Linked DNA regions of Stegostoma tigrinum. The protein of the gene in region 2 purifies or fractionates together with the protein of the main gene of each other region. This does not show direct contact. Links are inferred from orthologs where the notes say so. Each region holds a gene or a part of one and is shown on either strand. Other genes may lie near its edges.

Region 1 (3,913 bases), on a different chromosome or scaffold from region 2:
TGTTAAGGGGTCATTCTAATTAATCATTCAATAATCTAGTTAGATTATTCTAAACATTCTTCTACATTGAAACGCAGCTTGTCAGTTATTTTGTTTCATTTGTGTAATAAGTGTTTATTGTTAAAGACACTCTGCAACCTCGTGAACAATGACTATCATAATGAGCTAAATAAATAAAAACCAAGTCAGATTTTACTATCAAGTCATTTCACTTCAATTGTAACCTTGAGTTTGCCTGGTAATCTTTTTCAGACTACATTGCTTATATTATATAATACTATACTATATTATAATGAATATAATAACAAATTATACATTATTATAATGAATTTACATTAGAATAACCAAATTCATAACCAAGGCAGTTCAAACAAATCAGAAACAAAATAGAAGTTGCTTGGAAAGCTCAGCAGGTCTGGCAGAATCTGTGAAGGGAAATCAAGAGTTAACATTTCAGGCTCGGTGACACTTAGAACAGATCAGAATTTAAAAATTTTTCTTGGGTAAACCTAGGATAATTTTAGTTTGCACTTCAGTTTAGGAAAAAAGTGAGCATCCATTTTTAAAGCATCTTTAATATCCTCAATAAAATCCCAAAGAACCGCGGATAATGGAAAACAGAAACAAAAACAAAAACTGCTGGAAAAGCACAGATCTGTGTTCTGAAGAAGGGTCACTGGACCCTAAGCATTAGCTCTGATTTCTCGCCACAGATGCTGCCAGGCCCATTGAGCTTTTCCTGCAATTCTGTTTAATGTCGTCAAGATGTCCCAAACCACTTCACAGACAGAGAATAATATCTGAAGTTGTAATCACTGTTGTCATTGCAAACAAGCTCAGAAGATAGTGTTCACTAAAAATTGGAAACAAAAGGAAAAAATAATGTAGGAAATAAACAGCAGGTCAGGCATAATGTGCATTGAGAACCAGATTTCAGGGCGTGACTTTCTATTGGATGTGGGGAAGCCCTACAGATCAGGCAAGTGCTACACTCTATCAAGACCAAACAGAAAACAAAACTACATCTGAAGCAGCTACACTGGGTACTCACATGAAAACTTAGCTACAAAGACTCATGAATCATCTCTCCATGCTTGCAGCTTGTTCTCCCAAACTATAAATATCAAGAAAACGATCATCATGGAACAGGGGGGGGGGGGGGGGGGGAGAGGGGGGGGGGGGGGGAGGGGGGAGGGGGGGGGAGAGGGGGGGGCGGGGGGGGGGGAGAGGGGGGTGGGGGGCGGGGGGGAGAGGGGGGGCGTTTGGGGGCGGCGAGGGGGGGGCGGCGAGGGGGGGGCGGCGAGGGGGGGCGGCGAGGGGGGCGGCAGAGGGGGGGGCGGCAGAGGGGGGGGGAAGAGGGGGGGGGGAAGAGGGGGGGGGAAGAGGGGGGGGGAAGAGGGGGGGGGAAGAGGGGGGGGAGAAGAGGGGGGGGAGAAGAGGGGGGGAGAAGAGGGGGGGGAGAAGAGGGGGGGGGAGAAGAGGGGGGGAGAAGAGGGGGGGAGAAGAGGGGGGAGAAGAGGGGGGGGGAGGGGGGGGGGGGAGGGGGGGCGTGGGGGGGGGAGGGGGGCGTGGGGGGGGAGGGGGGCGTGGGGGGGGGGAGGGGGGGCGTTTGGGGGCGAGGGGGGGGCGAGGGGGGGGGGGCGAGGGGGGGGGGCGAGGGGGGGGGGGCGAGGGGGGGGGGCGAGGGGGGGGGGGCGAGGGGGGGGGGGGGCGAGGGGGGGGGGCGAGGGGGGGGGGCGAGGGGGGGGGGCGAGGGGGGGGGGGGCGAGGGGGGGGGGGGGGGCGAGGGGGGGGGGAAGAGGGGGGGGGGAAGAGGGGGGGGGGAAGAGGGGGGGGGAAGAGGGGGGGGGAAGAGGGGGGGGGAAGAGGGGGGGGGAAGAGGGGGGGGGGAAGAGGGGGCGAGGGGGGGGGGAAAGAGGGGGCGTGGGGGGGGAGAGGGGGGGGGGGGGGGCGTGGGGGGGGGAGAGGGGGGGGGGTGGGGGGGGGGGGGGGGGGGGAGGGGGGCGTGGAGGGGGGGAGGGGGAGGGGGGGGTGGGGGGGGGGAGGGGGGGGCGGGGGTGGGGGGGGGGGGGGTGGGGGGGGGGAGGGGGGGCGTGGGGGGGGGAGGGGGGGCGTGGGGGGGGGAGGGGGGGCGTGGGGGGGGGGGGGGGGGGCGTGGGGGGGGGGGGGGGGGTGGGGGGGGGGGAGGAGGGGGGGGGGAGGGGGGGGGAGGGGGGGGGTGGGGGGGGGGGGGGGGGGCGTGGGGTGAACAGAAGTGAAGACTTGAGGGAGAGAGAAAGAAGAAGTGAAAGACTGAGGAAAGGGGGAGGGGAATGAAAATCATGCAGGTGGGGGGTTTGCGAAGAGACAGGGATCCCCGGGGCTCCCAGCCGTCCCCGGGCCCCGGGGCCTGCCCTTACATGCTTCAAGCAGCGCTCCTTGAGGCTCTCGACACTGGTCTCCTCGGTCACCTCCTCCAGCCACTCGGTGCCCTCCATGGTGCAGATGTGGAGCCTCAGCACCTTACCGGCGAAGATCTTCTCCTCCTGCACAAACATGGCCTCCTCTCAACTCCAAGTCACGGCCTACTCCTGTCGCCGGTGATCATTGCAGTCGGTATGTCCGCCGACCCCGGCCTCCCGCTGCCGCCTCCACCTTCACAAACCAGTGCGACCTCTCACCTCCCACCCCCTCCCTGCGGGGTCAACCGACAGCGCGTGCGCGCACTTTGCAATGCATCCTGGATGTTGTAGTTCTCTACCCCCCCCCATCACTTGCTGAAGAGCAAGGAAGACTTAGCGTTCAGGTACACCCATACAGGACCTACCACAAATGCTTTACAGCCGATTAAATACAGCTTTTTAAAGCACAGTCCCTGGTGTCACAGAGGAAACGCAGCAATCAAATTGCACATAATGAGCTCCCACAAAGTAAATTCATCATAATCTTACTGGATCACATGGGCTACTCTCTTACTGGATAGAGATAACTGGTGATGGGTTAACATACTTTTCAGACACAGAGAGAGTTTGAGAAGGAGAGTTGTTTGCATTAACCTCAGTCAATGCAGGACTTGAACCTCCCACACTCTTGATATTGTTAACTAGCCATCCAGTCAACTGAGCTAATCAAATCCACTCCCACAATGTAACCTTCAAACAGGATCACAAGAAAATCTGGTTATTATGGTGCATGCTTTCTTGTGATATTATTTGAAGGTTACATGTTCACCAGGACACCAGGGATAATAACACTTTGAAATTGTGCCTTTGGGATCTTTCAGGCAAGTGGGCAAATCAAGATTTGGTTTTAACCTCTCACCCAACAAATAGCAGCTCCAACTTTATAATATTCCTACAGTTCTACGCTGGAACATCAGTCTATATTTTTGTGCAGGACTCCTAGAGTGGGACTTGGATCTCCCACCTCGTGCCTCAGAGACGCGAACTGTGGCTGACCCAGCTGTTCCAAAAACAGATAATAATATGCGTGAATGAATTGCCCAAATCCCATGAACAAAGTGTTTAATAAAATGTGTGAACATCAGCAGATTTAGCATCATCTGTGAAGAAAAAATTAGAGTTAACGTTTCAGGTCTGGTGACCCTTTCTCAGAAGGATTTTTTCTTCACAGTTGCTGCCAGACCTGCTGAGCATTTCCAGCAACTTTTGTTTATGTTCCTAATTTAAAGCATCCGCAGCTCTTTCAGTTTTTATATGAGTGAACATTATTGGCAAGGCCAACATCTATAGTTCATCTTGGATTGCCCTTCTAAAGATGGTGGAATTTGAACTTGTTGTAAGATCATCAATCCAGCGTCACTAGAGAAATGAATTCCACGAACCCTGCTCGTTCCCCACAACTCTGTGATCCCTTCCCTTTCAAACTTATGCAATTTCCTTTAAAAGTTATTTTTGGAATTTTTTCCACTGTC
Region 2 (3,913 bases):
CATTCTACACACAAACCACCTTCTGCATAGGTCCCTCTGTCTCCCTAAGCCTAGCCCTCTAGTTTTGTACTCCACTACCCTGGGGAAACGACCTAATGTATTTACCAATTTAATCTATTTAATATTCCAACTGCTACAGTCAATGTATTTGGGTAGGGAAGAGAAGGTGTCTTTGGTGGGGTGGTGAGGGACATTTGTGGAGTGGGGGTATTTGGGAATGGAGAAGAGAACTCGGAAAGGGAGGTCTGGGGTTGGAGAGAGAATTTTAGGGAGGTGGTATTTGGGAAGGATATTTAGGCATGGGGAGAGGTATTTCGGGATCGGACATTTATGGATGGGGATGGCCTATTTATGGATGGCGAGTCTGGTATTTGTGGATGGAGAGTGGTATTTGGGGAGGGAGAGGAATATTTGAAATAGGAGTGTTTGTGAAAGGGAATTATAGAGGGGATGAGTATTTGTGGTTCGGTATTTGGGCAGGGGAGGCTATTGTGGATGGGAGCGGTATTTGAGCAGGGAGAGGGCTATTTGAACAGGGGATGGGAATTTAGACAGGGGGAGGTGTATTGTGGATGGAAAGGGCACTTGATTGGGGGTGTATTTAAGCAGGAGAAGGGTATTTGAGCAGGGGAGGGGTATTTAAGCAGGTGGGTGGGGTATTTGATCAGGGCGAGGTATTTAAACGGGGGATATATGATCAGGGTAGGGGTATTTAAGCGGGGCAAGGGTTTTGAGCAAGCGGAGGGGTATTTGATCGGGGCGGGGTATTTAAGCTGGGGGTAAATGATCGGGGAGGCGTATTTAAGCTGGAGATGGGGCATTGGGGGCGGGGTCGGGACCGACTCCGCCCTATGGGCGCAGCGCATGCGTGCGGCGGGCTTTAGACCGGACTGAAGATGGCGGCGACGGGAGCGGGTCCGTGAGGAGAAGTCGGGACAGAGTGGGTCTTCTCTGAGAAACCGGGGTCTGCGCAAGCTGGGTAGCACAGGTCAGCGGAACCGAGGCCCATCCGAAACCGGAACACTGTCGACAGGGAAACTGAGAGATTAAAAGTGAATGAGAGGTCGGGGGGGGCCGAGATCCTCGTCACTGACCCCGCCCACCCGTCACTGACCCCTCCCCACCACCCCACCCTCGTCACTGACCCGCCCCCACCCTCGTCACTGACCCGCCCCCACCCTCGTCACTGACAACACCCCGACCTCTGTCACTTACTGCCCCCACCCCACCGTCACTAACCACTAACTCACCCTCCTACCCCACCCGCTCCACACCCCCGTCACTTACTCTTCCCTGCTTTCACTGACCCCTCCCCCATCACTGACCTGGCCCCCAAAACTGACCCCTCTCCCAACACATGACTTGCTTCCATTCTTGACCCCATCACTGACTTCCCTCCATTCAGTGACTCCCCCCTCCCCCAATTACTGACTTGCCCCTAATCACTGCCCCACCTCACCATCGTTCCTGGAAGCTCTGCAATCAGTTGATCTCCTCGAATTGCTGACCCTCTCCTTTCTGTGACTCCTCCACGAGTCTGACACTGCCCCCCACCAAAGCACAATGACCCTCTTCTCCCCATCACTTAGGCTCCTGCATCACTCTGAGCCCACACCCAACACTCCCCTCTCACCTAGGCTCCTGGATCACTCACATCACCTCCCCCAACTAATCACATGGACCTCACTACTCAGTGGCCCTCCAGATGCATGCTGACTTTTCCAGTCCCCACATTTACCACCCTTCCAACCATGCTAACCCCCTAATTTCCACACTGACCCCTGTGACTCACACTTGATCTCCAGATCTCACCGACACCCTCCAGACTTGGCTGACATCTTTCAATATCATTCTTCTCTACTGTCCCTGTGTCCCTTGAATTTTTAAAAATGTAGGCATCTTCAATGTACTTAACAATCAATCCTCCACAGCTCTTTCGGATAGAGAATTCCAGCTGATGTTGGAGTGTCTTTCATATTGAACTGAGGCAATCAGCGATCTATTTCCTACGATTCGTCTCATGCTAATTCCCCAGTAGGCTAATTCTCAAAGTTTGCTCTTAAGTTTACTTTGATTTCACTTGCTGCCTTATGTTTTCAGTTCTTATCTGGCCAGTTATCCTTTGGGTAGCTCACTGCCTTTCAGTGCAAGTAGTCAAGCAAATGTTGGTCTTTGAAATAACTTTCTTATATCTGCTACTAACATTACCATCTTCCTTGGGCACATGCTAAGCTCACGCTGAATAATAGATAACGGCAGCCATCTCAGAACATGGAGTGAAAATACTGAAGCTGTTTCCTCCACTAAATTTGTTTTTACATAGTTTTACAAATTGGAGAGACACTAATTTGGAAAATGACGTCTAAAGGCACCAGCACATCCTACTCCAGGAGAAGTTATCGGTTGACCTCTGATACAGAAAAACCAAAGGTCACAGGTATGTTTGGTATCAAGGGTTGGGACAGCCTGAGTGATCCTAATTGTGATGTGTGTGTGAACATCCTATATCTACTTAGTTTGTGAGAGAAGTATACTTTGTTTGGGAAGTACTTAAAAATAACGTGAAAGATTGGCAAATTGAACAACTGAATGTATCTGGATGGAATTGTGACCTGTGAAACTGCTTGGATGGGAAATGTGTTTTTGTCTCCTGTTTCACTAATCGATGACTTGGTGGCATTCCCCACAATTGTAAGCCCATTGAAATCCCATGTTGCTGGCAACTATGTTTGGATTTCAGCACTCCGAAATCTAATTGGTGGCAGCCCCGACTCAACAGTAACGCTCTCACCCTACGTGCAAAGGTTGTGCAAGGCTAGGAAATGCAAGTATACTCTGATGTTATTTTTAACGGCTTCAGCTGATGCAGTGTGAATAGTTGTGATGCCATCAGGAGTGGCTCTCCCATGTTAGGTGTGCGGTCTGTGAGCGATGGTCTGACTTAGATGACCAGAGGTTGAAACCTGGGACTTCACTAGGTGGGATCCATCACCAGGTTGCAGTTGGAAATCTTTGAAATTAACCAAGTGGTTTGCCGACCAGAGGTAGGTCTGTAACCACTTTACAGGGTATGATGGTATTCCAGTCAAGACTGCTTGATTTCAGACAAGTGTGAAGATTTTACTTGTGCGACTGTGTCAAGTAGAGTGCTTTATTATTTGGTGATGTTCTCCTTCACAAAGGATATTTTTGTTATAGACATTGTGGATTTCAATGTGTGCCAGCATAGGAAGTAACAGAAGCTCTCTCGATGCCAGAGAAGTAATCTTCATCATTGCTTGGAGCTGGGCATCTACCTTGTTGGTCCAGCAGTTCCTGAACCTGTTGAGCAGCAGTATTCTAAGATAATAAAATGTGAGGCTGGATGAACACAGCAGGCCAAGCAGCATCTCAGGAGCACAAAAGCCGACGTTTCGGGCCTAGACCCTTCATCAGAGAGGGGGATGGGGAGAGGGAGCTGGAATAAATAGGGAGAGAGGGGGAGGCGGACCGAAGATGGAGAGTAAAGAAGATAGATGGAGAGAGTATAGGTGGGGAGGTAGGGAGGGGATAGGTCAGTCCAGGGAAGACGGACAGGTCAAGGAGGTGGGATGAGGTTAGTAGGTAGCTGGGGGTGCGGCTTGGTGTGGGAGGAAGGGATGGGTGAGAGGAAGAACCGGTTAGGGAGGCAGAGACAGATTGGACTGGTTTTGGGATGCAGTGGGTGGGGGGGAAGAGCTGGGCTGGTTGTGTGGTGCAGTGGGGGGAGGGGATGAACTGGGCTGGTTTCGGGATGCAGTAGGGGAAGGGGAGATTTTGAAACTGGTGAAGTCCACATTGATACCATATGGCTGCAGGGTTCCCAGGCGGAATATGAGTTGCTGTTCCTGCAACCTTTTGGTGGCATCATTGTGGCAGTGCAGGAGGCCCATGA

The links.
Region 1: the proteins of E3 ubiquitin-protein ligase RNF123 (region 2) and ubac1 purify together in Homo sapiens (affinity purification with mass spectrometry; 7 studies listed by BioGRID and IntAct, counting the BioPlex papers as one, with this or other methods). This does not show direct contact. The link is inferred for Stegostoma tigrinum from reciprocal best matches to the Homo sapiens genes RNF123 and UBAC1.

What each region holds. Positions count from the first base shown.
Region 1 is NC_081382.1:38,038,815-38,042,727, forward strand, and holds the start of ubac1 (ubiquitin-associated domain-containing protein 1), read right to left. Parts: upstream 2,656-3,913; 5' UTR 2,538-2,655; coding exon 2,400-2,537; intron 1-2,399.
Region 2 is NC_081364.1:65,894,500-65,898,412, reverse strand, and holds the start of E3 ubiquitin-protein ligase RNF123, read left to right. Parts: upstream 1-872; 5' UTR 873-988; intron 989-2,323; 5' UTR 2,324-2,355; coding exon 2,356-2,437; intron 2,438-3,913. UniProt on the Homo sapiens protein: Catalytic subunit of the KPC complex that acts as E3 ubiquitin-protein ligase. Promotes the ubiquitination and proteasome-mediated degradation of CDKN1B which is the cyclin-dependent kinase inhibitor at the G0-G1 transition of the cell cycle.